Linked DNA regions of Kluyveromyces lactis. The protein of the gene in region 1 binds, or shares a complex with, the protein of each later gene. Links are inferred from orthologs where the notes say so. Each region holds a gene or a part of one and is shown in the gene's direction. Other genes may lie near its edges. The genes, in order: RSM26, RSM25, MRP13, MRP10, VAR1, RSM19 and RSM28.

What was found.
Region 2: RSM26 (region 1) and RSM25 share a complex: the UniProt entries of both Saccharomyces cerevisiae proteins name them as parts of the mitochondrial small ribosomal subunit. The link is inferred for Kluyveromyces lactis from reciprocal best matches to the Saccharomyces cerevisiae genes RSM26 and RSM25.
Region 3: RSM26 (region 1) and MRP13 share a complex: the UniProt entries of both Saccharomyces cerevisiae proteins name them as parts of the mitochondrial small ribosomal subunit. The link is inferred for Kluyveromyces lactis from reciprocal best matches to the Saccharomyces cerevisiae genes RSM26 and MRP13.
Region 4: RSM26 (region 1) and MRP10 share a complex: the UniProt entries of both Saccharomyces cerevisiae proteins name them as parts of the mitochondrial small ribosomal subunit. The link is inferred for Kluyveromyces lactis from reciprocal best matches to the Saccharomyces cerevisiae genes RSM26 and MRP10.
Region 5: RSM26 (region 1) and VAR1 share a complex: the UniProt entries of both Saccharomyces cerevisiae proteins name them as parts of the mitochondrial small ribosomal subunit. The link is inferred for Kluyveromyces lactis from reciprocal best matches to the Saccharomyces cerevisiae genes RSM26 and VAR1.
Region 6: RSM26 (region 1) and RSM19 share a complex: the UniProt entries of both Saccharomyces cerevisiae proteins name them as parts of the mitochondrial small ribosomal subunit. The link is inferred for Kluyveromyces lactis from reciprocal best matches to the Saccharomyces cerevisiae genes RSM26 and RSM19.
Region 7: RSM26 (region 1) and RSM28 share a complex: the UniProt entries of both Saccharomyces cerevisiae proteins name them as parts of the mitochondrial small ribosomal subunit. The link is inferred for Kluyveromyces lactis from reciprocal best matches to the Saccharomyces cerevisiae genes RSM26 and RSM28.

Annotation. Positions count from the first base shown.
Region 1 is NC_006041.1:116,810-121,128, forward strand, and holds RSM26 (mitochondrial 37S ribosomal protein mS42), read left to right. Parts: upstream 1-3,002; coding exon 3,003-3,764; downstream 3,765-4,319. Other genes in the region: putative DNA-dependent ATPase RAD55, read right to left, coding at 1,154-2,395. UniProt on the Saccharomyces cerevisiae protein: Component of the mitochondrial ribosome (mitoribosome), a dedicated translation machinery responsible for the synthesis of mitochondrial genome-encoded proteins, including at least some of the essential transmembrane subunits of the mitochondrial respiratory chain.
Region 2 is NC_006041.1:742,971-747,483, forward strand, and holds RSM25 (mitochondrial 37S ribosomal protein mS23), read left to right. Parts: upstream 1-2,174; coding exon 2,175-2,960; downstream 2,961-4,513. Other genes in the region: rRNA-binding ribosome biosynthesis protein UTP25, read left to right, coding at 1-1,210; KSH1 (Ksh1p), read right to left, coding at 1,553-1,771; EFM6 (putative protein-lysine N-methyltransferase), read right to left, coding at 3,196-3,996; FAP1 (Fap1p), read right to left, coding at 4,302-4,513. UniProt on the Saccharomyces cerevisiae protein: Component of the mitochondrial ribosome (mitoribosome), a dedicated translation machinery responsible for the synthesis of mitochondrial genome-encoded proteins, including at least some of the essential transmembrane subunits of the mitochondrial respiratory chain.
Region 3 is NC_006042.1:771,554-776,022, forward strand, and holds MRP13 (mitochondrial 37S ribosomal protein mS44 MRP13), read left to right. Parts: upstream 1-2,166; coding exon 2,167-3,132; downstream 3,133-4,469. Other genes in the region: RPL11A (60S ribosomal protein uL5), read left to right, coding at 626-1,150; KLLA0_F08283g (uncharacterized protein), read right to left, coding at 1,263-1,778; GCD2 (translation initiation factor eIF2B subunit delta), read left to right, coding at 3,572-4,469. UniProt on the Saccharomyces cerevisiae protein: Component of the mitochondrial ribosome (mitoribosome), a dedicated translation machinery responsible for the synthesis of mitochondrial genome-encoded proteins, including at least some of the essential transmembrane subunits of the mitochondrial respiratory chain.
Region 4 is NC_006041.1:1,177,379-1,181,262, forward strand, and holds MRP10 (mitochondrial 37S ribosomal protein mS37), read left to right. Parts: upstream 1-2,071; coding exon 2,072-2,359; downstream 2,360-3,884. Other genes in the region: NPC2 (sterol transporter), read left to right, coding at 423-944; succinate dehydrogenase assembly factor SDH5, read left to right, coding at 1,261-1,752; FAD1 (FMN adenylyltransferase), read right to left, coding at 2,506-3,450; MTF2 (Mtf2p), read right to left, coding at 3,781-3,884. UniProt on the Saccharomyces cerevisiae protein: Component of the mitochondrial ribosome (mitoribosome), a dedicated translation machinery responsible for the synthesis of mitochondrial genome-encoded proteins, including at least some of the essential transmembrane subunits of the mitochondrial respiratory chain.
Region 5 is NC_006077.1:35,319-40,083, reverse strand, and holds VAR1 (ribosomal small subunit protein), read left to right. Parts: upstream 1-2,278; coding exon 2,279-3,445; downstream 3,446-4,765. Other genes in the region: COX3 (cytochrome c oxidase subunit 3), read right to left, coding at 736-1,545; COX2 (cytochrome c oxidase subunit 2), read left to right, coding at 4,378-4,765. UniProt on the Saccharomyces cerevisiae protein: Component of the mitochondrial ribosome (mitoribosome), a dedicated translation machinery responsible for the synthesis of mitochondrial genome-encoded proteins, including at least some of the essential transmembrane subunits of the mitochondrial respiratory chain.
Region 6 is NC_006042.1:665,690-669,533, forward strand, and holds RSM19 (mitochondrial 37S ribosomal protein uS19m), read left to right. Parts: upstream 1-2,440; coding exon 2,441-2,716; downstream 2,717-3,844. Other genes in the region: putative ATP-dependent RNA helicase DBP6, read right to left, coding at 281-2,173; type 2C protein phosphatase PTC6, read right to left, coding at 3,012-3,844. UniProt on the Saccharomyces cerevisiae protein: Component of the mitochondrial ribosome (mitoribosome), a dedicated translation machinery responsible for the synthesis of mitochondrial genome-encoded proteins, including at least some of the essential transmembrane subunits of the mitochondrial respiratory chain.
Region 7 is NC_006039.1:1,052,384-1,056,786, reverse strand, and holds RSM28 (mitochondrial 37S ribosomal protein mS46 RSM28), read left to right. Parts: upstream 1-1,754; coding exon 1,755-2,768; downstream 2,769-4,403. Other genes in the region: MZM1 (Mzm1p), read left to right, coding at 1-84; TPT1 (tRNA 2'-phosphotransferase), read left to right, coding at 634-1,344; CORVET complex subunit VPS3, read right to left, coding at 2,857-4,403. UniProt on the Saccharomyces cerevisiae protein: Component of the mitochondrial ribosome (mitoribosome), a dedicated translation machinery responsible for the synthesis of mitochondrial genome-encoded proteins, including at least some of the essential transmembrane subunits of the mitochondrial respiratory chain.

The DNA of each region.
Region 1 (4,319 bases):
TATTTCTTTATTGATGAACGCGATGTGTTAGCGATAGTAAGTTTTCTTGCTTATCTAGAAGATACAATAGTGAATCCTGATGTTACAGCTATAACAATACAGATTATTCAACAGGAAAAAAAAGTGGAAGAAGGGATATATTATTCTAAAACTCTTGAAACAAACCAATGCCTTATATACTTTTCAGTCGGCCCACTCATATCGCTATTCTTATCCCCTTGCTTTCTTCACCTGGCAATTTATTTTAGTCACAAGATCTACGCAATTTTTTCCCTCTCCATTGCAGCACTGTCATACCAAAAAAAAAAGATGAACATGACAATAATAGAAACAATCTTTGTCACAACAAATATCCACTTTAGTCCAATTAAGTAAAATCGAGAATAGTAAACAAAAAATGGAGTTGTACGCAGATACAGCAGAAACCCTCAAAATAGAAGCCGTCATCCCTCAAATGGCTCTTCCCAAACAATAAGCAAAATCTAATTATCCAGTCATTTCTTCCTGTTTCTGCGTAATTCCATACCCGCATTCGGTTTGGCCATATTAAAATGGAAGCCGGCTATTTTACAAACAACACCTACAAGGACATATGTTGCTTATACAATGGAGCTAAGTGGGCCGATCACAGATTGCTCCACCTCAGAACCTTCATTGACACTTTATGACAGGTTGGAACGGCTGAAACATGTAAAAAACAAGATTAGCTTGTTAAATTCATATCTGTAAACCTAGCAGTAACAATAAAAGCAAAACAAACAAATTTTTCCTATTTGAATTCCAATAATAGAAAAGTTAGTGGATTCAAGGTTCAAGAGCTCTTAAAACCGGCCAATGAAAACCGTCCCATGTCGATTACTAAAGTTGGCATAGATCACGTCAGATCTATTTTGATGCCCTTTGGGGATCTCTCGAAGGAGAAAATGGAAAAAAAAGACACATGCACCCATACACCACATCATTAGTAATTTCCATGATCTCTCTTTTGGTTTCCGTGGAGATTCCTGGAAAAGCGTCCGATGACGAATGTGAGATATATTGGGCACCACTCGTGACCGTATCTAAGGAGGAAGGGCGCAATTCTTAGTTGCATATTTTATTCACTTAAAAGTGACAAAATTAGGTCGGCTTCCTGTTTGTAATGTGTTCCGTTCTATCCTTCACTATCATATATGATAGCGTCGTTGTCAGTGCCTTCAGTTCCATGAGTTGCCACAATGTTGTCTGAATGAACGATTCGTGGTGTAAACTGGATTGATTGCGAAGAGTTTGGTGTTACGGGCTGACTGTGACTTTGAACATCTAATAGCATACGGCTCGGACTTGGCTCCGTGTATAAAACCCGTCTTCTCTTGTTTGGGGGAAGCACCGGTGCTGCGGCTACTGCAGCAGCAGCAGCTGTCGCACTTGAGGAAGTGTTCGTAGGAAGAAGATTGTCAGTGACAGCAGTTGTTGGGTTTTCTGCGACTATAGTTGTGTGACAGCTATAAAAGTTCCCAGATTCATTAGTCTTAACCCAAACCAGTTTATTCTTCGAGCCCACTGGCTGTTGATGTTGTACAACAAACTGCCGTGATACCTCGGGGATGATTCTTTTCTGGGAGTTAGGATTCTGCTTTTGTTCTGCATCCCAATTCCAGAACACACCGATCCTGCATCGAAGAAACACCTCCCAACGGGCATCTTTACTTCCAACGGCTGCATTTGCTACTAATCCACTCTTCAACACTTGCACGTGACGTTTCCGTTGAGATTTCACGAGGAAATTGCTAAAGGAACCATCTGAGTGGGTTCCGTTGCTGGGATCGTTGTATGAGACAACTGCATCGTCTGAATAGTCCTGGTAACCTGTGTTCATAGCGTCATTAAGTAATACCACCACCGTATTGTTTGAAGTGGCGTATTTAGTTATGGTGACAAGCAATTGTATCAAACTTTTCACCTTGAAATCGTGCAAGGTCTGTCGATGGTTAGAATATCCACTGTTCTTCTCGTACATATGGAGATACTCTACCAAAAGCTGAGATAAACCATCGATTATTATGAGCCCGTACGTCTCTTTTAAATTCTGAAACATGTACCACAGTTGAGCAAATTTCTTCACTCTTGCGAATTGGCACCCTTTGAAATGGACTTCGTCCTCATCTCCTTGCTCTATAAGCTTCAGTGGTACTTGCTGGAACGTGTCAATCCACAGACATTTCATCCTATTCTGATTATTGTTCACTAATTGTACCGCGAACTTTGTCTTGCCAATTCCTGGAGGTCCGTAAACCTCGTAGATACTCTGTGGTTGGAATCCGTCATTCAATGAATCGTCTAAACTCTCAATGCCACTTCGTACATGATCTGCACGCGCTTGTATCAGTTGAGACAAAGGTACACCAAATGACATTAGAATGCTATCAACTAATCACCAAACGCGTCCACAGTTTCTCCTGGTTCTTCAAGCCTTTCAAGACTATGTATAACTAGCCTTTTAAATCCGCATAATTCACCTTTAGGTGTAACTAAAAAATGTCATCAAGTCCGTAGACAACTCAGCTCAATAATGTTTGTTTTATTTACCAGGTTTTTGCTGTGATTATGTTATTCAAAAATATAAAATAAGAAAAGATAAGAGGGAGTAATAATACTTGAATTTAATCATTGAAAGAATTGAAATTAAAAACTCGAAGGTTCTTCCCACGAATCTCCTTGTCTACCTCTTGTCGGATTATATCCTACGGGTGTATCTTATTTGGACTTTATTGATTATTAGTCTAGTTCATTAAGCTAGAGAAGATAATGAGTTCCGGGTAACATTTCAAATCTTAAAATTTTTCTTAGCATTCAACATTGCCGAACAGGAAAAATTGAAATCATTTCGACTTGTATCAATTCATGAATCTAAAATGCATAACTAGAAAGTCTACTATTTCTTGCTCAATGCATCCTATTTACATTCTTCCTAGAGTTTCGGAACGATTGATATAATTGAGGCAACTAACTAAAAATATTTAATGTCAATGTTTGGGCGTCAACTGTTCAGAGGAATACACACAGTTCCAAAGATACCTGGTATTTCACAACTTTTGGATTCAGGCATCCCTCATGTTATGAGCGCTAACACATTCAAAACTTGCTGGGTTGACCAGCAGCAGCTTTTGTGCGATAAGCTAACACTGGCATCTGCAGGAACTGCCGCAGAATCCTACTTGCCATTCCATTTAGTACTGCACACTGCGAAGAAATCATACCAAACAAACATTTTCAATTTGGCTAGTGCTTTGCACAATAACCATTTGTTCATAGAAAACATATTGCCTATGGAACAAGTTACACATCCATCTCGTGAGTTTCTACAGAAGCTAGAATCACAATATTCAATGACTTGGGATGCTTTTAAGGATGAAATGGTTAGACATGCAGAAGAAGATGTGTTAGGTCAAGGATGGCTATTCCTTGTGGAAAATGATGCCAAGGAACTTCACATCCTAACAGTTCAAAATAATGGTACTCCATACTACTTTGCTAGAAACCAATCTTTCGATTTGAACAGTGCTCTATCCTTAGAAGAAATGGAACAGTTTGTAACGATGAGAGATCTACTTGCCGCAAATGCAGACGTTAAAGATTGGACAATGCCTTTGATTGCGATCAGTTTGTGGGACCATTCATACTTGAATGATTACGGTATTAAGGGCAGATCCACTTACGTAAGGAAGTGTTTAGATAACTTGAACTGGTCTGCGGTTAACAACAGATTGTTCTCCACACAATAGGAGTATACCAGTACTTCCAATCATAAATAGACTGTTGGCTCTCTTTAAAATATGGGTCTTAATTACATGTACATAGTCACAAATGCAATATAACCGTTTGCGAATAGCTCACAATCCTCTCTCATTATTAGCGTATCTCTGGTTGATATAGGCAAGAGCGGATAAGGTACGGAAAACGGTATTCAACTAAAACTTCAACATCAAGTATAAAATACTTCCAAAACTCTGAGGAACTTGAGAACTCGTCCTTGTTAGCTCAGTTGGTAGAGCGTTCGGCTTTTAAGCATTGCTCGCAAGGAACCGAAATGTCAGGGGTTCGAGCCCCCTATGAGGAGTTCTTATTTTTTCGTATTTGCAATAACCATCATAATATTCACTGGCCGGGAATGTTAGGTTTAGTACATTCTGTTAAATAAAATTCCTAGTAGGAAATAGGCACCTGGCGATGGATAATCAACTCTGTGACTGCTAAAAGCCGCTTATCGCTAATCTTTTGTTTTTCTTTCTTTCTTGAAGTGTTCTGATTTCTATTTACTTATCTATGGACTGATTGAT
Region 2 (4,513 bases), about 630 kb from region 1:
TCCGAAAGTACTTATTGTAGTACCAACAAGAGATGCTGCTCACAAAATTGTCCGGAAAATTATGGAGAAATCAGGGCTTGATCAATTCGATAAGAAATCGAAATTTGAGGATCAGTTCTTCGAAGATTCGTTACCTCCTACTTCAAAACCTAAATCCTTTCAGCATATTTTCCAGGGTAACACAAATGATTTCTTCGTATTGGGTCTCAAGTTCACTAGAAAATCCCTAAAGATATACTCAAACTTTTATCAGTCCGATATCATTATATGCTCTCCGTTAGGGATTCAATTAATTCTTGAAAACACTGATAAGAAGAAAAGACAGGATGATTTCTTGTCGAGCATTGAAGTCATGATCATAGATCAATTGCATTCCATTGAATATCAAAACGCCATGCATGTGACAACAATTTTTCAGCATATCAATAAAATTCCGGAACAGCAACGGGAAGCAGATTTCAGTCGAATCAGAATGTGGTATATTAACGAACAGGCAAAATTCTTCCGCCAAACAATAGTCTTCACTAAATACATATCACCGTTTGCCAACTCAATCTTGAATGGGAAGTGTCGTAATCTTGCTGGAAGATGGAAAAATCATAGGAAGATAAAACCTGAACAATCAAGCATTGGTCAATTAGGACTAAAGGTTAGACAAATATTCCAAAGATTTGATTTAGCAGGAGGGACAGCTCTAGATGAACCTGATTACAGGTTTAAATTTTTTACGAGTGTCATCGTTCCGTCTATTGTGAAATCTACTGGGTACGAGGATGGTATATTATTATACATTCCTGATTATACCGATTTCATCCGTGTTAGAAACTATTTGAAAGAAAAAACTACAATCATATTCGGAGAAATCAACGAGTACTCTAACCAGAAACAATTGACATCCAATAGAGCAAGATTCCAACACGGAAAGGTGAAGGTCTTGTTATACACAGAAAGATTGCACCACTTTAGAAGGTACGAAATAAAAAACGTCAAGAGTGTAATTTTCTACAAGCCTCCGGGAAATCCTGAATTCTATTCTGAAGTTGTTCGCAATATTGGTAAGAACGTATTTTTAGGCAACTGTGATATCAACATTTCAACTGTCAGATGCATATATAGTAAGATGGACGGTCTTTCTCTAGAGAGAGTCGTAGGATCTAAACGCGCGGCAGTATTGGCTCATGGCCAAAACGAAGTGTACGAGTTTAAATAGAGTGGATCAAATATGCCATAAATAATTAGTAAACCGAAAACTTACGCAATCGTTCTCCTTTACTAATAGCTTAGAGTATTAAAATATGTTGCACTTTTCAACTTCTTTGTTTGTTGTAGAATTTTGAAACTCAAAGTCAGATTCAAAGAGTACATATTAATTCTTAATTATTTGATGCAAAGAGACAAGCCCGCAAACGAATCCAATAGCCGCCCGATAATAGATTAAACTAATTTTATACTTAAAATATAATTCTATAGACCTCAGAGCCGGTCAAACTTGCTAATGAGAGCTTTCACCTATAGCAATTGTGACTTATCTTTATCTTTTCCCTTGGGTTTATCAACTGTTGAATTGCGAAACTGCCATGGCAATGCAAGCTAAAGACACATAAGGACTAGCTCTTTCCCCAATTCTCGCAAACTTCCAAAATACTCCTAGTATACCGCTGTCCTTATAACGATCAAGGAGCGATGGTCTTTGTGCATGAATATATGTGCACGAACATATGAACAATAGTATAACTTGTAACAATGATTTAAAATTGAATAGGGCAGACATGTTTTTCAGAAAAGCTAGTGACCGTGAATATTCTGCCGAAGAAAATATCTACTCTGAACCTTTCAAAACAGGAACGAGATGAAACCTAAGGTTCATCAGTTATCATTCCACTGTATTGAAAAGAATAAAGGAACTTACGCTCCCCATACACTTAGCTCTTCGATCTTTAATTTTGGTGAAAAATGTTTACTCTTCACGTGATCTAAAAATTGAATGCTTCTACTTAGAAAAATTTGAAAAATCTGATCGACGATCCAAAATGAAATTATAGTGAAAAGTTGAAAAGTTCACAAATATGCTGTATGAACAGCTCCAGGACAACAAGTATTGGATCGATTGCTTGAACCTGCGAGTTTACTGAGATAGTATAGAGTAAACGGGCCATATAAACGTCAGATATAAAATGAAGGTTCAGCAAGAAGCCGTTAATGTACTAGAACGTACATCCGCCTATTTGAAGTCTGGTATTTTGAAGAAGACTCCAGCTTGGTACAATGTTATAGCGAAGGTACCACCAACAAAGAAGTTTGCTAGAACCCCACAACTGACACATCCTATGAACGGTAAATCTAGAACTGCACTACCTGATTACAGCAATTGGAAGGCCAATTCTTCAGGATTATACAAAACTAGACCAAATTCTTTGGAAAAGAAAGATGGTGCATCGAAGCTATATCAGTCCCCAAAATTAGTATATATCGAGGATAAATTGAGAAAATTGTTCTTCCAGCAACATCCATGGGAACTTTCAAGACCTAAGATTCTTGTTGAGAATACCCTAGAGACTCAAGAATATGACTGGTCTCATATCCAACAACTAGGCAAGCCATTGGATGGCGAATCAGTTGTACAAAGGACGCTTTTCCTATTAAAATCAGGAGAGAAAAAAGAACTCATTGATGCATATGATCAAGCTAGATTCGAGTTCTACCGTCTAAGAATACAACAAGAAATTCAAGATCAAGTTGCTCAAGAAGAAGCCGAAATGTTCGGTTCAGTCTTCCATACCACTTCAATAGAATACGGAATTGCTAAGGAACAAAAGGTCATTGACACATGGAAGAGAAAGGCCTTACAGCAAGCTGAGTTGATGGCTGCCAGAGCAAGTAGTCCTTCTGCTTCCTGGACAAACGAGACCGAAGAAGAACAAAAACCTATTGATCAAGATGTTGAGGAAATTCAACTATGATCTTCCACAATTAAACACAACCAATGAACACTATTCCCGTCAGAACTCTGAGTTTTACTGTCATTATTGTATAAAAATTTCATGTATATATAAGTCACTATAACTATAAAGTTACTCATAGTTAATTCACGAATTGAAAGTACTTTCATGAGCATCACAAAAAGCATAAAAGATCAAACTAAATGGGGTGTCTTTGCATTTGACAAACGTCAGTTGTCACCCTACTACTATTTTTTTATTTCTCCCTCATAAGCTGAAACAAATGAGTTCTCTGTTTCAAATATTTATCGAAGTTAATAAAATCTCGTATCTCTACAATTTTAAAGTTCTTCTTGATCTTTTGGAAGAAATGTTTGTCCGCTTTACGCCTTTTCTTGTATGCCATTAGAATAATTGGCACATTCTCCCCATCAGTTAATTCTAACAGTGTTTTTTCCAATAATGGGAAAGCAGCTTCTAAGTACACACAGTCCGCAGCTAGCACTAAATCAACCGGTTTCTTGACAAATACATCCGGCAAGGGATTCCCCCACCATAACACCTCGGCGTGAACCTTATCATCCAATCCGTTGACTTGAATATTAGATTCCATGAGACCAAGCAGCTGATCAATGTCAGAAATATAAACTTCACGATCTGAATATTCATTCGCTTGATCCATTAGACCAACACAAAGCCCAACTAGACCTGTACCACTACCCAGTTCCAAAACGCTATTGCAATTCCCATCTGGAAACAAATGACTTAGCAAATGTTCCTTGTCGGATTTTTCAAGGATATATTCGCATAGCAGTTCACCTGCTATCCACACTTTACCTCCGCATCCGGATTCACCACCATCTTCATTGATTATAAGAGGACTCGGCAGTTTTCCATTGAAAGACATATCAATTTTGCCCAGATGCTCAATTGGCCTAGCTGGCACTAGTTCCTCAAAACAACTTGAAAACGGCACATCCCCCATAATGAATGCCTTACAGGTCTCCAACACTGTTCGCTCTTTTCGATCTCTCGTCAGCACTTCTAAAAGTGACATCGACTGTTACATAATATGGAATTTGTCTACAGGTTTTCTCGGAATAGTCGTATTTTTCACTCTTTTTTTAGAGTTTACAGACTAAACTTCTTCATGATGTGAAAAAAAAGGACATCCAACGACAATATATTCCATTTACAATACGATGTACATTGTACTGAATCTGCAATTGAATATGTTCTCTCTATAGTGTATAAATAAATGAAGGCTATGAAACTTCTGCTGAGGTGTTATGCATGAAAAGTCTGTAGACTATAGGTGCGTCAGTTTTTTTATATATGTACTTTTTTGGCCGGCTTTTTCTCTTATGCTTGAGACACTAGGGACAAATTCTCATCAACTTGACACATTTCCACACCTGTAGCCAACATTTGATCTTGTAGTGCTGTCTTTATAAACGGAATGACTTTTTCCATATCACTTGCAGTGTTTTTTGTTATACCCGAATAATTCTCTGGGAAAATCAAAACTGAGTTTAAGTCTTTCAAGAAGCGATATTGAGGTGTTTTCACTAAAG
Region 3 (4,469 bases), on another chromosome or scaffold:
TCTTCTTTAACTGTACCCTTTTGCCACTCAAGGCTCTAATTGTTTAAGTTCATATAATCTCAGAATGAAGGTTGTAATTCGGGTTTGATATCAACGATTGTATGGGACTGTCAAATGTGTAGGGTAACGATACATCATCCGTACATTCTCTAAAGTATCCAGAATTCCAAATTCATGGTGTACGGATGGTTAAATTAAAAGTGTGTACATGATATTATTACTATATAGGGTTATTTAGTCCGTGAGACTCATAACTCGCTGTGCGGTAAGGGCGATGAGAGACATCATCTAATACGACAATATAATTCCCGTCCTTGGTGATCATTTGGTTCTGCTACTGCGATCTTTGGGCGACAACGCAACTCTTTTTTTTTGTTTGGAGCTTTCGCCTAGTGAAAAATTCATGATAATTCCCAATGGATGGAAGAACAGCTTGACCTAGGGACTAAGTTACAGGTTTGATGTAGGATTTTTTTTCATTGAGGTTTTTCAACATTGGATTCACTATACGTTTAGGTACATCTATTACATATTTAAAAGTATTCTCGTATTAGTGGTCTATTTCTTTTATTATTTGTAGGTTTTATTCCGCTGTACACGTCAACCCACAACCCCATAGTCCAAGATGTCTGCTAAAGCTCAAAACCCTATGCGTGAATTGAAGATCGAGAAATTGGTCTTGAATATTTCTGTTGGTGAATCTGGTGACAGATTGACCAGAGCTTCCAAGGTTTTGGAACAATTGTCTGGTCAAACTCCAGTTCAATCCAAGGCTAGATACACTGTCAGAACTTTCGGTATCAGAAGAAACGAAAAGATTGCTGTCCACGTTACTGTTCGTGGTCCAAAGGCTGAAGAAATCTTGGAAAGAGGTTTGAAGGTCAAGGAATACCAATTGAGAAACAGAAACTTCTCTGCTACCGGTAACTTCGGTTTCGGTATCCAAGAACACATCGATTTGGGTATCAAGTACGACCCAGGTATCGGTATTTACGGTATGGATTTCTACATTGTCATGGGTAGACCAGGTGCCAGAGTCACCAGAAGAAAGAGATGTCAATCTAAAATCGGTAACTCTCACAAGACTTCCAAGGAAGACACCATCGCTTGGTTCAAGCAAAGATACGATGCTGAAGTTTTGGACAAATAAACAACCCATTTAAACTGAAAAAGTGTCCTATCTATCGTTTTATCAAAGCAAGAATATTATTATATCGTAATATATAGATAAATTATTATTTTTACTGCAAATATTAGAATATCTATATTGTTGCCTTTTCTAAATTGTCATTCAACGTCAACCGCCAGCGGTTATTCAATGAATCAATTTCCTGTCTATGAGATTCTTCCATGTTAGTTCTGTATTGAGATAATTGTTCCAACTGTTGTTTCTGAGTTTCTAGCACACCTCTGATCTGTTCTGTAACTGACTTCAACATTTCTTCTTGTACAATAAGCTGTTTCGGCAGCGTTTTGGATATCAGTCTTTCGAGACACAATTCCTGGTGCTTCAAATATGCGTATCGGACTTCTGCGGACATTTCTGGTCTCTCAAGCCATATTTGACTTCTCCATTTTTCAATATTGCCATCCACATCCTCATAAACATTGAAACTTTCCCTCAAACAGCCGTTTACTTCAATTTCTTCTCGAAATATGTCTGCCACCTTGCTGTGTAACGTCGTCTCATCGCTGGTTACACCATTGGCTTCAAGAGTAATTTTCTCGAGATACTCTTGATATCCCAACTCAGTATTCATTTTCAGTACAGAGTTCATGTTTGGTCTGGTTATTTAGTCTTTTCGGAGCTGGAATTAGCGAAGAGTGTTTCTTAGAACAGCTTATCGATGATTGCAATTAAGCATAAGTGCCCCAATGTCTTTATGCATAGACAGGTTTTTAATATGGTTTTTGATATCATCTTGTACGTGTTGAAAAATTTCATGTTTTCAACATTTCTATGTAGAGCGGAAACTAGCCAGAGGAAAGCTTGAAGATTGAATCACCACATCACAGTAGAAAAACACGCTTCATCAGCTGCAATCATTGGGATAACTCATCGGTTATTGGCAGAGGTAACACAATTAATACTCTGATTTGGTTGAAAAAGCCAGCGGTAGGAACAAAGGTCTGATTTTAATCCTCATATAACAGTCAAAGCAGCGAATGTTCTCTCGGTTTTTCACAAGATCGGTTTCAACTGGTGTAGAGTCTCGTGCGGTCTTTGACAACTTCTTACAATTTGTCAAGACACCACAGACTCTAAGACCATACATCTACCGCAAAAAGAATGCTAACCGTTTGTTGGCCATGGATTTGAAAGATCCAGAAACTAAACTTCCTATTCAACCTAGACCATCAGTGTTAAGACCAAGTGCATCAGTTCTCAATAGCGTCATATTGAACGCATCGTCAGCTGAAGAGTTGGAAAACATGGTTAGAGATTGGAAGAATATCACACCTAGAAGGAAAGAGTTCTGGAGTTATTTGATTCCCCAGCATCTACAAAACATGTTGTTAACTTCCACTTTCAAGTTTGGTGCTTTAGGAGCAGTTTTGAATGTTCTGTACCAAATACAGCCATTATTGGTGAAAGCAAAGCAATTAGAAGCCTATAACGTAGATGTATGGTATAATACTGTATTGATGTGTCAATTGCATAGAAATGCGTTCCAAAACGTTCAAGATTCCGGCATGGTAGAGAGAGGCCTAAGGAAGTTATCATCGACTGTTACCAAAAGAGAAGATACAACTGGTTTAACAAAGGAAATTGTTCAAGCTTTGGGTAGACAACAGAACGTTGAGGTGAAATTACCTAATTTCGCTAGAAATATTGAAATTAACTTGCCATCGATCGATGTTAGCACTGCAAGCCAAAATCAATTAAGGACTTTCTTGACAAAGAACACCACCCAGTATTTGTTGAGCAGAACAGCATTAGACTTCGGCTCAACTGAAGCTAAGCTGCAACAGTTTGTTGAAAACTATCAAGCCGTTTTAGCGCAAAACTCGGTTGCTGACATTTACGACAAATACGTATCCCAATACAAACAGCTGTTAACTCAAAAGGCTACTGAATCTGAAACGACAGAAGAAGCTCATGCAGATGCACAAGCAGAAGAAACGAAATAAAGGATAGACTTATCCGTAACCAATATTTCCCAGAACCGTTCATGTATATATATATAAGAATCAACGTCAGTTAAGAATATTACTAGAAATTCAAAAAACATTAACAAAATGACCATAATTCATAAAGAAACTCACACAATATACTTCTATTATATAATTATTGATGTGCCGTCACGGATTCATCGCAAATTGAGTAAATGTTCGTCAATTAGCGCCTGGTACCATGTCACTCCCGCTAGCCAACTCGGGCACTGAGTTTGTTCGATCTGCAAGGAAATCACCGTCAACGAGTTTTCCATCATTCTTTTTAAGAATTTCAATTTTGGTGAAATTATTCAAAAGCTGACATAAATACCAATCGATGATCTCGCAGTTCCTGTGATCCAACGGAAATCTATTGGCAAATAACGGTATACTTTGAGGTATCAAATCACCAATAATGACAGGAGGAGCTAAGGAGGCTTCAGGGAAAGAAACTAATACTGAAAAGACGGCAAATGCACAAGAAGGAGAAAAACCTTTATCTAATAAAGAGTTGAAGGAACTGAAAAAGAAGGAGAAGGCTGCAAAGAGAGCAGCCAGTAAGCAAGCTAGTGGTATCTCTATTGAAAAACAGCAGCAGCAAGCTGCTGCTAAGCGTGAAAAGAAGCAGCAACAAAGAGATCTCTTAGCTGCAAAAAAGAATAAAGCAGCCGACCCGGTCAAACATGATACCAAGAAGTCGACTCTATTTGGTCATCTAGAGACTGCTGAAGAAAGAAGAGCTTCTTTACTTGCAGTTTCGAGTGCTATCACTTCTACAGGTACCTCAAGGATTACTGCTAATGGGTTAGTATTGCCTTTACTTGCTACTACACCCGCGGTTGCGGTTTCCCAACCAATGTCTGCATCTCCTTTGAGTTCAAACCTTTCTGGAAGCAATACTAATTTGGCAGGTTTGGCTCATTCAGAAGATTTTGAAGCCCATCAAATGCTAAATTCCTTGTCCCTTGATGAATCGTCTTCATTTGTCCCAGGAATATCATCCGTCATTCCAAATACCATGACTTCACAATTTACAAATCAACAATCGATTGCCTCTGTAAAAGAATTGATTGCCAATCGCGAAATGTTACATCCCGCTATCACCTCTCTGACTTTGGATTATGCATTCTATAAAATTATAGGTTCCATTCCTCGTTGTATTGCCATGTTAGAGGCATTCCAACTGGTTGTCAGAGACTACAAGACTCCAGAAGGTACTACTCTTTCACGTAATTTGACAAGTTACCTGTCCCATCAAATTGATTTCTTGAAGAAGTCAAGACCATTGAGTGTAACCATGGGTAATGCCATTA
Region 4 (3,884 bases), about 1.1 Mb from region 1:
TATATATATCTATCTAAGATAGCAACATAAGTATTTCTCAGCCGTAAATATAACGAAGTTCTCAGTCTGATAATCGTATTTCAGCCGCTCGTTGTTCACCCCTTATCCTTTAGACCTTATCTGAGACTTCGAGATGAGAAAGTCACAATTTTAAAGGTTTGTTGGAATTCGAAACATTTTGTTTACATCACGCATGGGAAACAACAAAAAGGAAAGGGAAAGAAAGATAAAGCAAGAGCAACAGTTCAGCCTTTACAAGTTATATACCTGCTCATAGACCAATTCAAGATCTTTAAGATATCTACAAGGACTCACTAAGGCCTCTCGTTATTATATCAAGTCCTGAAACCTTCATAAACAAAAAAAAGAAAAGCTAAAGCAAACTCCCCTTATCTCTAAAACACCCTGATTGAACCACCAAGATGCGTTTTTCTGTTGTAACCAGTTACTTATTATGCGCTGCTGCATCGTACGCTAATGCAGCTTCTTTATTCGGATTAAGTTTCCCAGAACCACCATCAGCGAACAAACCGATCCCTGGTGACTCTCCTTTATTGCAATGTGATGTTGACCAATCTCAATCGCTTGATGTTACTCAAGTAAACTTGGTCCCCAACCCACCACAAAGAGGTGAGAATTTGACTATAGCTGCTGCAGGTGTCCTACAAACCACTATCGAAGAAGGTGCATACATCGACATCGAAGTTAGATTAGGTTACATCAAGTTAATCTCACAAACCTACGATTTGTGTGAACAATTGGAGGAGAACGACATCGACGGATTGAAATGTCCAATCGAGGAAGGTGTCTACGAGTTGAACAAGATCGTGGAGATCCCTAGCGAGGTGCCACCTGGCAAATACTCTGTCATTGCTAGAGCTTACAACGTCGACGATGAACAGATCACGTGCCTAACTGGTGAAGTAATCTTCCCAGCGTACTAGACACACCTGTCACAAAGGCTACCTGTCTCTCACTGACCTTACCCAGTGTGAGCCAAGTATAAGGTCTCCTCCTATAGCGACGTTGCAAAGCTGTGGAGTTCTAGGTCCATGTACACGTGACCGAACCGATTACGGCACCTTTTTACCCGTCTTGCTATATATAATATTAATTGAATCACAATTTGAATTGGTTGATCTCTCTCCTCCGTTACCCCAGGTTAGGAAGAGGTCCTAATTTGTATTACATATATCTAGTATACCCTCCTCTATACTATCCCTACCTGTCCAGTCAACAAACGACCACTGTCATCTAATAATGCTAAGAACTGTCTTCAACAAACCATCAGTGTTGAAATCTGGAGTTAACTCGATTACAAAGCAATGCCGTTCTCTTCACGCAAATGCTTACTTGTTGAACAAGGGCAACAGCAACGGTGCTGAGGGCCAAGATGACGATGTCACGGTGAGAATCAGAATCCCACCTATCAAGAGAACCGGCGAGTCTCTAGACAAGAAGCGTGCTAGATTAATTTATCAGTCCAGAAAGAGAGGTATTCTGGAAACAGACTTACTTTTGTCACGTTTTGCTGCTAAGTATTTAAAGGAAATGACCCCAGAACAACTAGAAGAGTACGACCAGTTGTTGAACGAACTAGATTGGGATATCTACTACTGGGCCACAGAAAACTATTCCATTACACCTCTTCCTGACAGATGGAAGAACTCCAATATTCTAAAACAATTGCAAGAGTTCAGTAAGAACAAGGATCGTGAAATCCTAAGCATGCCTGATCTTTCCAAATACTGAACATCAGCGGTATACGTACTTGCCAATTAAGCAACAGTATAGTCTATAGCTCTTATTTTATACCCATATGCTCTCTCTCCCTCTGTCGCGGCAGCTCATCATTTCCAGGGCAGGCCCAAGTGAAAAATTTAACCCGTACACCGCATACTTAGATCCAACATTGGCGAAAGTCTCAAAAATTTTGTTAAGATCATAAAGAATGATATCGTTTATATGATGGAAAATATCATAAATGTAGTCGCGTAGTCCGTTCTAGAGGTCTTGTAAGGTCGTGTTGCGAAGGGTACGTCCAAGATATCAAGTGTTCATATATTAAAGCATGTCCAGTAAGACTCCTCTTTATAAATTACCACCTCTTCCCAGACTTAAGGTGAAAAAGCCAATTATTCAACAAGAGGCTAACAGATGCTTGGTATTGATGTCCAATCTATTACAATGCTGGTCTTCTAACGGACACATGTACGGTGCATGTGAGACATTGGCCCAAGATTTGAAGGCATGTACCGCGGAAAATGCCTTAGGTAAGAACCAAAAAGTCCAGAAGAGTAATATCAACTATCATGCTGCTAGATTGTACGATAGAGTTGGTGGAAAATCTCATGATTAGAAAGAAGCAGACAGACTTTCTCCCCCTTCGTTATCACTTGTACATAATACCATTTTCTAATATTACATATATCATCTAAAATCAAGGAATTCACGATTTATTAAATATGATAGAGATTTTTGTAGCTATTTGTGAGTGGATTCATCTCAAACTTTTCTGGCGAGTCTGCCAGCTCTTTCCCACTCGTCTTTCGTTAGATACCATCCCGGATGGAACTCAGATGAATCATGCTGTTTGATGGTATTAAGGTCATTCTCGTTAATTTCGTTACAATGCATGTTAGAATCTCCTCTGTAATTGTTTTCAATTTCCCATTGGAAATCGCTATGTTCAGTCTCGGCCTTTGTCATGGAGCCTATAGGTTCTGGTATCCGTAGGTATGGATTTCTCAATGTGTTGTTTACACTGCCCAATGAAGTGAATCCCATCTCATATAATCCGCATACTTCTTCTCCCGAATACAATAGGAAACTCCATATCTGTGAGAGATTCCAATGTAGCAACGGTTGCAACCTGTAGAACTGGGGCCAACTGGGGTCCGTCTTTTGAATTGGTTGCAACGTCTCCCCAAATGGATCTGTGTGTCTAATGCCGATTACTATTGCCTGAGTCTCTGGATGTACCGATAAGAACGACTTGAAGGCACTTGGCATATCGACCTGTTTATCCTTCGCTGATTCGTATAACGATAAGTGATATCGCTCCACGCTCCGTTGTAAGAAATCTTGTGCCGTAAGAAAGGTATCCTCTTGATCAATGTATACAGTGGGTAGTTGCTGCAACGGGAACATGTGGAACTGGAGATCGTACTGTGATCCCTGTATTGACATGAGGAAAAATTCCCATAGACATCCCAGATATATGATTAGCAACACTTGACAATCCTTGCCACCGTTGTATGAAAATGATATCTCGCCATTGAACGGATCCCATCTAGTGAATATATCCTGCAGAAGGTACCGTCTACTCAGCTGTATCGATTCTTGAGTCTGTTTTATTACATCTCCGGTTGTGGCTACGGCAGATTCGGCATCGATCGATAAATACGACTGAACGATGTTGTAACAGTTCAGGGCAACGTCTTGCAACATTGCAGAAAACGTATCTGTATTATCGGTTCACACTATCTGATCTTTAGCGAAGTCCTAGACTTCTGCATTTACGGTAAATTGAATCAAAGTATATTGTAGTTGTGTCAAGAAGGTTTATAAAACCTCGAATTGCCTTTGAACGATTTTCATCACATAAGCCAAGAAGATTGAAAAGAGGTACAAAACAAAACCATTCCGTTTACCATCCGAATGATACCGCTCGTGACTTTATGTATTCACCATCAGCTACATTTATAGGTGTATTATCTATATTATCTTAATTATTTACATTGTTAGCTTGTTGTAGTTGGTCTGGCAAATCTGTTTTCCTTACCTCATCAACGATCTTTTCAACGTCTTGAGGTATTTCGTCAACTGGTCTATGACATTAGCATTCTCTGTACACCACAATACACTAGTTTTACTCAACTCCT
Region 5 (4,765 bases), on another chromosome or scaffold:
TTCCTTATAAAACTAACTTCATTTGTTAAGATATAAAGAAGAATATAAAACATAAAAAAAAACAACAAAACAAAAATAAAGAGAAAATATTACAGAATAAATAATTAGGTAGCATCTGTGTAAGATAGTCTAAAGGGAGATAATGAAATATAAAGAATAGTTAATGAATAAATATATATAGGAAAATAAAATTTAATAACAATAATAAAATAAAAAGAAAAGAATAATCAATATTAACAAAAAGAGAGCGAGGAAAAAGATATATAACGATTATAAATAAAAAACTAGTGTCTTATTCTTAGAGTTAAGTACCACTTCGGATATGAGGGATAATAAGAGGAGGGGGGGGGTTTTTTTTTTTTTTCACCCTCCCCCCCCCCCCCAAAAAAAAAAAAAATGATAGTACGCTACGAACTATTTTTTTAAAAAAAAAAAAAAATCCCCCCCCTCCCCCCTGATGACATTGGGCTTGTACTTCATATTATTAATAGTCGTCATAATAAATAAATATATCTAGGACACATTATAATATATTTGACGGGGGGCTTTTTAGGATATACTTGGGGGGGTGCCACGGGTAGTTCTAATTCCCCGGCAATCCTATTTAGGATTGCCGCGGGCAATACTTATAATAGTATTATATTAATATTATATTATATATTTATTTATATATTTAATATAAAAAAGGTAAGAATATTATTGTTTAAAGATATTCTTATATATTGTACTGATGAGTTATACACCTCATCAGTAGAATACAATATATAAGAATAATCAAATGATATCTAAAATATGGCAGTACAACACTGTTGTTTCATAACCTACATGATGAGTAGCTGTTAAATGATAGTTTCTTAATCTTCAATAATTAATACCTAACATTGCTGCTAACATAACCATATGTAAGAAATGTAATCCTGTACCAGCATAGAATACTGATCCATATACACCATCAGTAATTGTGAAAGTAGCATTAGTATATTCGATATATTGACAAGTAACAAAAATAACAATTAATCAGAATGTAATTAATAATCCTGATAATGCATTTTTTCTATTACCACCTACTAATCCATGATGACTATATGTAATAGTAGCACCTGAAGATAATAAGATAATAGTATTTAATAAAGGTAATTCTGTAGGTTGTACAGCTTGAATACCAACTGGAGGTCATACACCACCTAATTCAATATTAGGGCTCATAGCTGAATGGAAATAAGCTCAGAATAATGCAGCGAAAATTAAAATTTCTGATACTACGAATAATAAGAAACCTAAATTAATACCTTTTCTAACAGCAATTGTATGATCTCCTAAATATGTTGCTTCAGCAATAATATCTCTAAATCATAATGTAGCACTTAATGTTACTGTTAAAATTGATAAATAAATTAAATACATATGTCCAATATATCCATGCATAGTTAAAGCTAATGATAATGCTAATGACATTAATGCAAATGATACTACAATTGGTCATGGTGATGGAGCTACTAAATGAAAGGGAAATTGTTGATGTCTACTTCTTTCTAAATGTGTCATAAATATTTTTATAATCTATACATTTATAAATTTAAATGTTAATTTAATTTATAGAAATAATATTACTTAATATATATATATAATATATATATATATGATAATATTTATATTTTAATATAATTATTATTATATTATACTTACTTATAAACCCCATTGCGGACTCCCCCCCCCCCGAAGGGAGGAGTCCGCAATGGGGAAAAGTTAATTATGAAAACTATTTATATATAGTATATTATTAGTAATATTAAATATATATCTAGTATCGCCAAATACCCCTATAATAGGGGTATTTGGCGATTAATAATTATATTATTATATATAATAGATCTATATAAATAAATACAATTCCCCGGACGCCTCGTCCGACCCTACGGTCGGACGATGGCGTCCGGGGTTTATATATCGATTCCCCCCAATCTCATAATATGAGATTGGGGGGGGGGGAAATAAAATAGATTATCTCTTTAATAATAATTATAAATAGAATATATTATCTTACCCCGCGGATCCTCTACTGGTATTACCAGTAGAGGATCCGCGGGAATTTATCTCTTTCCCGCGATATCATCATATGATGATATCGCGGAATATACATAATTTATAAAATATATAATAAATATTTTATTTTATATTTATAAGTAGTAAATATAATAAACATGTTAAATTTTTTAATAATTTAATAATAATATATATATAGTTTTATATATATATATTATACGATCAATATATATAAATAAATATAAATACAATGAATAAACATACAACAAATTTAAATATTATTAAAAATATTAATAATATAAACAATTTAAATTCTATAAAAGAATTATTATTATTATTAAATAATAAAAGATTAAATAGATCTTTAAATAAAACTTATATTTGAGATTATTTAAATGAATTAAGTAATAAAGGTGTAAAATTACAACATTTAAATAATATTAATTCTTGATCATCTCAAATTTATAAATTTAATAAAACTGAAGAAATTAATAATACTATTTATGATAGATTAGTAACTAAATTATTAACAAAATTATTAGTATTAAATATTAATAATAAAATTTATAAATTAATTATTTCTAAACCTATCTTTGAACATAGTATTAATAAAGTTAATATTAAATTTTTCTATTATTTATCATATAAAAATATTAATAAAAATATTAATAATAACAATAATTTAATTAATAATATTTATAGTAATTATAAATTTAATATTAATAGTAAATTAATTAATTTATTAAATAATAACATTAATAGTATTAGTAATATTTTATCATTATATTATAATAAAGATGTATCATTTGAACCTATTCAATTAAAATATAATTATATGAATAGTGATATTTTAGCTAAATCATTAAAAATTATGAATTCATCTTCTAAAAGAAGTTTATCAATGAATAGAATTAAAAATTTAATGAATAATATGCCTAAATTAAATGATAAATTAATTAGTCAAACATATATTAATAATATTAATAATATTATGTTTAATAAATATAATAATATTATTAAATCAATTAATAATAATAATAATAATAACCCCGCGGACTCCTCTCCTGGTAATCCCAGGGGAGGAGCCGCGGGGAAATTATATAATATTATTTATGAAAATAATAATATTAATACTATCCCTAATAATATTTTAATGTTTAAATATTTAGTAGGATGATCAATTCAATTAAAAGGTAGATTATCTAATAATAAATCTATTTCTAGATCTAATACAATGAATATTTTAAATGGTACATTCCAAAACTATAAATATATTTGAGGTAATCAAATGGTTAATAATTATAAATTAAATTATATCCCTGTTAACCATAATATTACTAATATTTCTGATGTTAATAAAAATGGTAAATATAATATTAAAGTTAAATTAAATACTATTTAATTTATTAATTAATAATAATAAATAAATAATCAATATTCTTCCCCCACGCGGCATTACCCTAGGGTAATGCCGCGTGGGGCTTCTTTCTTTATATTATAATTATATAATTATATAATATATAATAAATTAATATATACATATAATCCCCCCTTCATATTATATGAAGGGGGGGGTAAAAATATAAATATTTTATAATATATAATAAATTAATATATATCTTTCCCGCGTTCTCCTTACTATTTCCTTAAGGACCTCTAAATACTAATAAAAATTAATTTTATATTATTAATTTTATATATAAATAAATATATAATATACATTTTCCCGCGGGGTATAATACTTATTATTAGTATTAATAATTTATTTATTTATTTATTTATTTATTTATTAATTTATTTATAATACTTTTCCCGCGGACTTATTCCCTGGAATTCCAGGGAATAAGCCGCGGGGTGTATAAATAATTTTATATACTCTTCTCCCGGGGACTCCTTCCCATAAGGTGTATACCTGGGAAGAGTCCCCGGAGTTAATATAATTAATAAACCCCACCCCCTTTAAGGGGGGTGGGGAGGAATACGCAATTGGGGGAATTTATAATAATTATTATATAATATTATTATATAGATATAAGTAAGTATAATATTATTATAATAATAATAATAGAGATTAGCTTAATTGGCAGAGCATTCGTTTTACACGCGAAGGACATGAGTTCAAATCTCGTATCTCTAATATATATTAAATATATCAATTAAAATATAAAAATTTAATAATAATATATCAATATACTTATTTAATATTATTATAATTATTTATAATAATTTATTATTAATAAGTTTTTTTCCTAATTGCGAACTCATCAAAACATTAGTTGGATGAGTTCGCGGGAGAATAATATATTAATCAATGTAATATCTAATATATAGAATATATATAGATTAAAAAAAATTATAAATATGTTTTATTTATTAAATTCAATTATTATGAATGATGTACCTACACCTTATGGTATGTATTTCCAAGATTCAGCTACACCTAATCAAGAAGGTATTTTAGAATTACATGATAATATTATGTTCTATTTATTTATTATTTTAGGATTAGTATCATGATTATTATTTACAATTGTAAGAACTTATAGTAAAAATCCTATTGCTTATAAATATATTAAACATGGTCAAACTATTGAAATTATTTGAACAATTTTCCCTGCTGTAATTTTATTAATTATTGCTTTCCCTTCATTCATTTTATTATATTTATGTGATGAAGTTATTTCTCCAGCAATGACTATTAAAGCTATTGGTTTACAATGAT
Region 6 (3,844 bases), on another chromosome or scaffold:
TAGTTAAGACAGTTTAACCTGCCTAAGGTACTTTGAAGGTTTATAGTGTTTCAGTGATTCTGAACGATCAATCACATATCAATTTAAGGTAAAGAAAGTTCTAAAGTGGAGGAAAAACACTGCTCGAACAATAAATAACATGTCACATGATCAACTCATCAGAAGAGGCAAAATAGATAGTAAGTATAAGATCATTAGTGCCTTCTCAAATATCACTTAGACGAGCCCCAAGAATGGGGTACAGTTACTATGATCTTTTTACTTATTTAGTGATAATATGCTATTTACTGTCTGCTTCTTTGCTGGTTTGGAGTTGTTTGATACAACCCTTGTACGTATCCTTCAAAGTGTCTTCAATAGAGAATAATTCAGACAACTTTTCTTCGTCAAGGTAAGCAGATGGTTGATAACCATCAATGTCACGACTGAGGTCAGTGTCAATATGTTGTGACCAGAATTTCTGTTCACCCTTACCAACTAGAAGGTTAATTGCTATACCCTCAGTATTAGCCCTTGCAGTTCTACCACAACGATGAACATATTGTTGAGAGGAGATCGGTAGATCATAGTTTATCACATGAGTAATTTCATTTATATCGATACCTCTAGCCATTATGTCCGTTGAAATTAAAACTGATTTCTTTTGTTCTGAGGATGCAAATTCCTGTATTAGTTTTCTGCTACTACCCTTCGAGATGTTCGAATGAATTGATGAAAGGAACATATTATACTCATCTTCAATTATTCCTGATCCTAACATGGCATGTAATAAGCTTTCTAATCTGATCGAAGCTTCGTTACTCTTCACAAACACTAATATTTTAGCGTTTCTCGAAGCACTGCTCTTGATGTCGTGTATTATTCTTAGTAAGAGTAGTGGCTTGAACAGACTCTTAGCAGTAGGAATATTGACATTGAGTTCTTGCAATTTCTTAGGTATTGAATATAATTTAACAGAATCTGTGAGGAAGATCTTGGGGTTGTGGAGATACAAATTGTACAACTTTTCTGCATTCGTAGTCAAAGTAGCAGAAAAGACCATTTTGATTACGTTTCCTGGACGTTTATCCTGCTTATCGTTTGTCAAATGGTGGAAAAGCACTTGGTTCCAATTTTGGAATGACTGATTTAATAGTCGGTCTGCTTCATCAAGGACTAAGAACTTCAAAGTTTTTAGGTCAAATGATTCCATCTGCAAGTGATCGACCAGTCTGCCCGGAGTGATGATTAGAATGTCTGGAGAGTTATACAAAAATTTGTTGTGTTCTTCTTTCAAGGAGTTCTCGAGTTTCGACATTGATACATTGAGACTGGTCCCTTGACTTAGTTTAGAGAGACAATCGTAGACTTGATGAATTAAAATTTTAGTAGGAACCAAAATTATTGCCCTAACTTTATTCACTGTTCTAGATCTCAAAATTTGAACCAAAGGGACAGAATATGCTAAGGTCTTACCGGAACCAGTTGATGCGTTTACTAATATATCACCAACTCGTCTTGTGAAAAGTTTTCTGTTTGCTTTAAAAGATGAGTTTAGAAGCGGGAGCACTTTATCGAATAGAATGGTCTGAATAGGGAACGTTTCAGATGAGAAATTGGAGGTAATATTTTTAAGCAGACGTGCATCTAATTCACCTTCGTAGCTATCGAATTGTTTAACCATTTTACTATCGTAATGAATTTTGGTTGCTGCATCCCACGCAGTGGATTTATATGTAGACGGATCTAGAAGCTTCAAGGCTTCATTGGTCACTTTGGCCGGTTGAGGAATTGGGGTAAGACTGTGAACATCTTTCATGGATACGTCCTCATCGTGTACATCGTTGTCACTACTGACCTTGTCTGAAGCGCTCAACGCACCTTGCAGGGAAAGAGTCTGTTGAAATCTATTTAATACGGAACTGTGCTTTGCATCAACTGATTGCTGAGAAGTTTCTGTAGGCGCAACAGATGCAACCTTGTTTTCATCTTGCTCACTAATTGTATCGGAATCATCCTCACTGCTGGAAGCATCATCCTCACTGCTGGAAGCATCGTCCTCACCAGAGCCTTCATCATCAGTTTCCGCATCTCTTTTCCTCTTTTGGGGCACAGTGGGTTCTTTTATTTGTGTGACTTCAGCTGTTAGTACATTTTCAGTCACCTTAGTAGGATCAAACCTTGCAGCAAACATGTTATTGACTGGATGCTATCGTTATGCTGTCGCTATGCTGTTACTGACCTTCTAAATTCCTGAAGCTCATCGCATCATATTACATCTCATCGCCATTCGTCTATTATTTTATTTCAGAACGGAATTCATAAAAAATTTCAATCTGTAAAACTTGAAATAACGACAAGATATAATAGAGTTAAGTCACTACCATGATATCAGTCAGCCAAAGGTTCCAGCAGTTAGACAAATATCTCGCGTCTACGATAACACTCATAACGTCATAAAATGTTCCCGTCATTGAGATTACTATCACGTTCTGTATGGAAAGGTCCAAATATAGTCCCATTACCAATAAAAGAAGCATTGGCCAAAGGTACGCCCATTAGAACAAATGCCAGATCTGCCACCATATTACCTCAATTTGTCGGACTGAAATTCCAAGTGCATAATGGTAAGGAGTATGTCGCGTTTGAAGTGACAGAAGATATGGTAGGAAGTAAGCTAGGAGAATTCGTACCAACAAGAAAGAGATTCAGTTATACTCAAACTAAGAACAAATGATTTGACATTTATGAAAAGCACAAAGTTAGTCAGACAGCAGCATGTATATAAAATCACACCTGGAAGTTCATGTACCACCGTGTACTCCATACGTAACTGTATCTATTACTAAGAAATGATTTATTGAACAAGTGCTCTCGATTAATTGGGAGTTAATGGTGTTTCTCATTGTTAAATAGATGCAAATGTTAATCATAACGAGTACTATATATAATAATTGAAGTAAAATAGAATATACACTCTTTACTTGAGGTTTCTTTTGAATTTAATTTATGATTAAGTTTGTGGACTTTTTTCAACCACTAGATCTTTCTCCACCGGATACACCACTTAGTAGCTTTTCCTCTCTAATCGCACCAGTGCGATCAATGACAGGCCAATTTCCCCAGTTCGGTAACCGCAGAATTACGCAAGTAGCATTATCAGAATGTTTAGAGCTAATAGCCATAACATATTGTAAAACTTCCTGAGCACAGAAGTGTGGAGAAGCAGTTTTCAAACCTCTATTGTTCACTGTGGAGGTGATGAGATCACAGAGTTCTTGATCGCTCATCAATTCAGTTACTCCGTCTGTCACTAAACATAAGAAACATTCATCACCACCGAACTGCAATTTTGATCTTTCAGCATGTGGTAACATTTTGGTTGGTCCAATGAGGTACGAATAAATGTCCGGCTCGCACGTTAGACCATCACGTTTTCCGATCCGATCGCCAAAGGATCGTGTATTTGCAAAATTGTTCAAAAATCTAGTATCACCGAAGGAGTCAGTTTGGAATTGACCTCCAAGTCTTCTGGACTCTCTACTTGATGAAGGATGATGAACTTTAGCCAAAGAATGAGCAATACCATTCTTGTCACAAAGTATAATTTTAGTGTCACCGATTTGAGTTACAGCCAGTTTTAGTAAGCCCTGTGGTGCAATGAAAAATGATTCATCGTAACATTCTTCTTCATTATAAGAGGTTAAAAAAAGGCTTGAAGCAGTCGAGCCACCAGTGAATATTTTCATTGCTTCTTCTGGTTCTAAATCCGAAGAAAATCCACATATTTCATTTAAGTCATAATTGAGGTAGGATATGTACAAACGTAAACGTTCGTATTCACTCAACAAGCTTGTCTTGTCAA
Region 7 (4,403 bases), on another chromosome or scaffold:
AACGAAACTATCAAGACTACTAAAAAGACACTGGCGGCCCAAGGTGGCGGTTGTTGTGGTGGTGGTGCTGGCTTGTACAAATAGGCAGCTGGAACAGAATAGCAAATTATGAGGCAGATTGATGACCTGTCTTTCCCCTGATTTCGTCCTTTCTGAAGGGACTCTATTACTCGACTACTAACTCTGGTGTCTTTGACCCCAGATGCGTTTTGCAGTCCCTGATATGGCGCATTCTGTTACAGTATTTTGCTTATACACAATCATTAATTTACATCTTCTTTTTCTTTTCCTTCCCCGTCAGGTTTCGTGAACCAAATATGGGAACTTTATCATGTACATAACGAATTATGTTGGTCAACGGTCTCTATTATTTAATCAAACTCTATTTTATCATTTTTACTATGCAACTTCAAGGCGTTTACGTACGGTGCCTACAGTGCACATTGTAATTCCTAAGTTTACATCTATATATACGTTCGTGTGTGTCATCTGACTCATATTAGGTTCCATCCAATTATTTTTTCGTTGTCATATATATTTCATTCCATTAGTTATGTATGACCGATAGAGAACGACATGGTCAAAGCTATTGGGGAAAACAGAAAGTGCTAAGCTCGATTTAACTGAACCATTATGAACACCTCGCATTCGCAGGAACCTAAGGACAGAAGTGTGAAAATTTCGAAAGCATTGGCTTATTTGCTGAGACATGGTGCTGTGAAGGAAAACTTGCCTATAGATTCTGATGGTTACATTGCATTGGATAGAATACTGCAGCATAACAGACTCAAAAGCTTGAAAGCAACGTCAACAGAAATACAGCATATTGTTGCTAGTAATGACAAGCAACGATTTCATATCAAAACTGATCCGAATACAGGGATAATGTACGTCTGTGCAACACAAGGACATACATTGAAGCAAATTGCTCCATCGCAACACGTTTTAAAACCAATTACCAACATAGAACAACTATCAAGTAAATTGGTTCATGGCACCAACGTATCAAACTGCATTTCAATTCTTCACTCAGGTTTCATCAAAAAAATGTCACGGAACCATGTTCATTTGTCTCCCGGCATTACTGGAAAAGATACGGATGTCATCAGTGGAATGAGAAGTTCTAGTAACGTTTACATCCATATCAAAAGGATCCAGGAAATGCTAGACAGCCTCAACCTTGTGAAATCATTAAATAATGTTTACCTAACTTCTCAGGACATACCGTTGAAATTTATTGATTTCATCCAAGTACGGAAAGGCAGATCTGCAGCATCTAGTGAACAACTTCAACAGCTAAAAAAGTTGGCTACAGAGATGAAAGTTCCAATCGAGATTATCTGAAACGACTTGATCGCTTTATCTATACATATATATATCACCTCTTAATAATTAATTGACTTGTTTTAGACTTTCCACTGACAACATCAATTTTTAGACGAGGCATATCGCTGTATGTACTCGCCGTTGTATTAAGTTCATATCAAAACGTCAGAACCCACCGAATGTTGTATTCCTTCTGTCATCATAAGAAATTTAGATCACGTGTGTTTTTATCATTTTGAACGCCTTGAAAATTTTTGATCTTTCATAAAACCTATGAGAGTGCGAAACTCGTTTCAGTATGATGAACTTGATTAGTTCTTATGGTATCACGGAGATATTTAGGTATAGGGTTGTAATAAACCAGGTAACGCTATATCAAGTTGTGATCTGTTTAAGTGTGTGACTAGCATTAATATATTTACTTAATAATGCTAGCTTCTACATTCTCTAAAAGGGCTTATAGCTCTGTCTCTCCGGACTTTTTAGCATCAGTTTTGCAAAGAGTGAAGGAAGTTCCTATCAAGGCAAGAGAACCACGTAAACCAAGATCTGACAGAAAGGTGAGGTCAGCTGGGAGGGAAGATAAGAGACAAACAGCAAGATTTGATGACAGATCCGGAGGAAATAAACCCAGGGATAATAGACAAGTCCGTAATGGTCAAGACCGTGGTGGTAAAAATTTTAGAGAAAGAACACAAAGAACGGATACTAGAGGAACCAATGGCCCGGTAGTACAAACAGGTACGGCTAAAAGACAGACACCAAAGATTACCGGTACTAATGAGTATAGTGAGATTTCAGGCAAAGTTCAAAATTTGGGTACCAGACAGAATCGTAGAAGCGATGAAAGGAAAACTCGTAAAACCGTTCCAGGGTTGAAAATTTCCAGTAATTTGGGATCGGAAAACGTTGTGCAAAATATTCACAACTCGGCTGTATATGTTCCACAAGATCCAACACCGTTATCGTTGCTAAGATACAGACCTGCTCTGGCTCCAACTTTCAGTGCAAGGACATTCAGATATGCAGTTTCAACACTAAAAGACGCCGACTTCCCTGTGCATCGTTCATTGAATGATGGTGTCACAATTAATGGAAAGAACGTCAGTAAGCGTATGACAGCGAACAAAGACAACTTTGGTGAATACGTGCCAGCTTCCATTTTGAAATTGCAGGTGGAACCGTTGACAAAAAACATCCAAATTTCTCCGGATCTAGAAAAACTTGAGCAATCCGTCAAGGGTAGTTTCCACATTCTCAAGCCATACACAAAGAAGGACTTTGCCAAACTAACAAAAGCAGAAGACAAAAGAGAGCAACTTCTGCAAAATAGCGAAATTGTGAGAAAGAGTTTAGAACAAAGCAACTTGGCTTCAACTGAAAAAGAACTTTTGCAAAAAGTCTGTTCCGGTTTGGCACCAGTCTCTGAATTGACAGCTTGATTACAAGCCAGATCGCCTATAGACAAGATTAACCTCTATTTTTCATGTATATATTTTCACAATGCACTTAATGATATATCACACTATTTCACAGTTCTAAACAACGTTCGATATTGTTTATATTCTGAGTACGATGCCTTAAAATTCCTTTCTTAATCTGTAGATTATATGTTGATTCGTCTTTTCGTCTGAGTAACGGAAATAGGAAACCCGATAACACTGATATTTGAATGGTTGGGGGTATTTTTTCCAAAATTTCTATAAGTAGCCCAGAGTCGTTTATACAACACGTATTCTTGTTAAGGAATTGACTAATGACCCTAGTATTGTTGAGACTTAGATAGTGATCGATAACTTTCAGCACTACCTTATCGTTGGCTTGTAACAAGGACTCCACCGTAGCAAAATCATTCCGTGATAAATATATATCAAGTAGTTTTTCGAACCCGATCTTTTCCTTTAATACACTGATATCTGTGATCATGATTCGTAGAACGAAAGAAGCATCGATATCATCAATAATAGAACCTTCTTTTATATTTAAAGCCTTTTCTATTTTCAGAAGCTTGGTCCCTACATCGAAGCAACCCTCATATTCCTTTTTCTCACCCAGCTTATTTTTCAAATACTCTTTGAAAGGAGACTTGTTATATGTCATGTTGGTAATGTACTCCGTAATTGGTAAATTGGAACTTTCTATTAGCTTGCTGTTCAAAACAGTAAGTTTAGCTTTATAGTACTCGTAAAGAAATGTCAAATCTTGGGTGGAACTCGCACCCAGTTTTTCAAGCAAGAGAACCTTTGTATCAGGGTCTTCGATGGATGAGATGAGTCTTTTCACATCTAAGTTTAAATTGTTTATTAATTGTAAAACGTCGCTTACAGTGTCATCGTTATAATCTTTCAAAGCTGATGAAATATCATCAGTCAGCATTTCTTTAGAGTAAGTATCGGGTAGCTCTTGGAAATGAGTATTCAGGTAATTTATGAGCCTTTTTTGATCTGTTTGTCTTAGTATTTCGAGCAATGGGGTCACTTCTTTTGTCTTTTCATATATGGCTATTAAAGTTTCTGAATGTTCTTTTTTATGCTTAGAAAGCTCTTTAGCAATTTCTTGGTAACTAGTCGCCTCGTATTCATCAACATTTGAACTGCCTTTAGCGATGTTATCACGTAATAGAATTAAATCGAGCGATAAATAAACGTTCGCACTATCTTTTAAGCTATCGGAACACGTTTCTTTTAGTTGAAATTTCAAGTATTGTATGATGTTCAGAACGTCATTACACTTGTGAACTAGCTTCAATGAATGCAATTTTTTTGAAAATGCTAATAACCCATTAGGAATCCACAAATCTCCGTAAATGTCGAAACCAAGTAGGTAAATTAATACTCTGATATCTGCAACATCAATATATTTGAGCCAGGCATCGATTAAATCTTTATCAATGTGTTCCATATGTAATGTTAACAGCAAGACATAAAGGAACTGCAAGTAGCTTTTTTGAAGAAGCTGGTAATTGCTTTGTGACTCTTCAGTGATGAAAGACTTCAAAATTGGAAGAGTATCTTCGCCATAGCTCGAAATGGTGAGTAGAAATGGCTTTCGGCATAAAGAATATATACCACATTTTC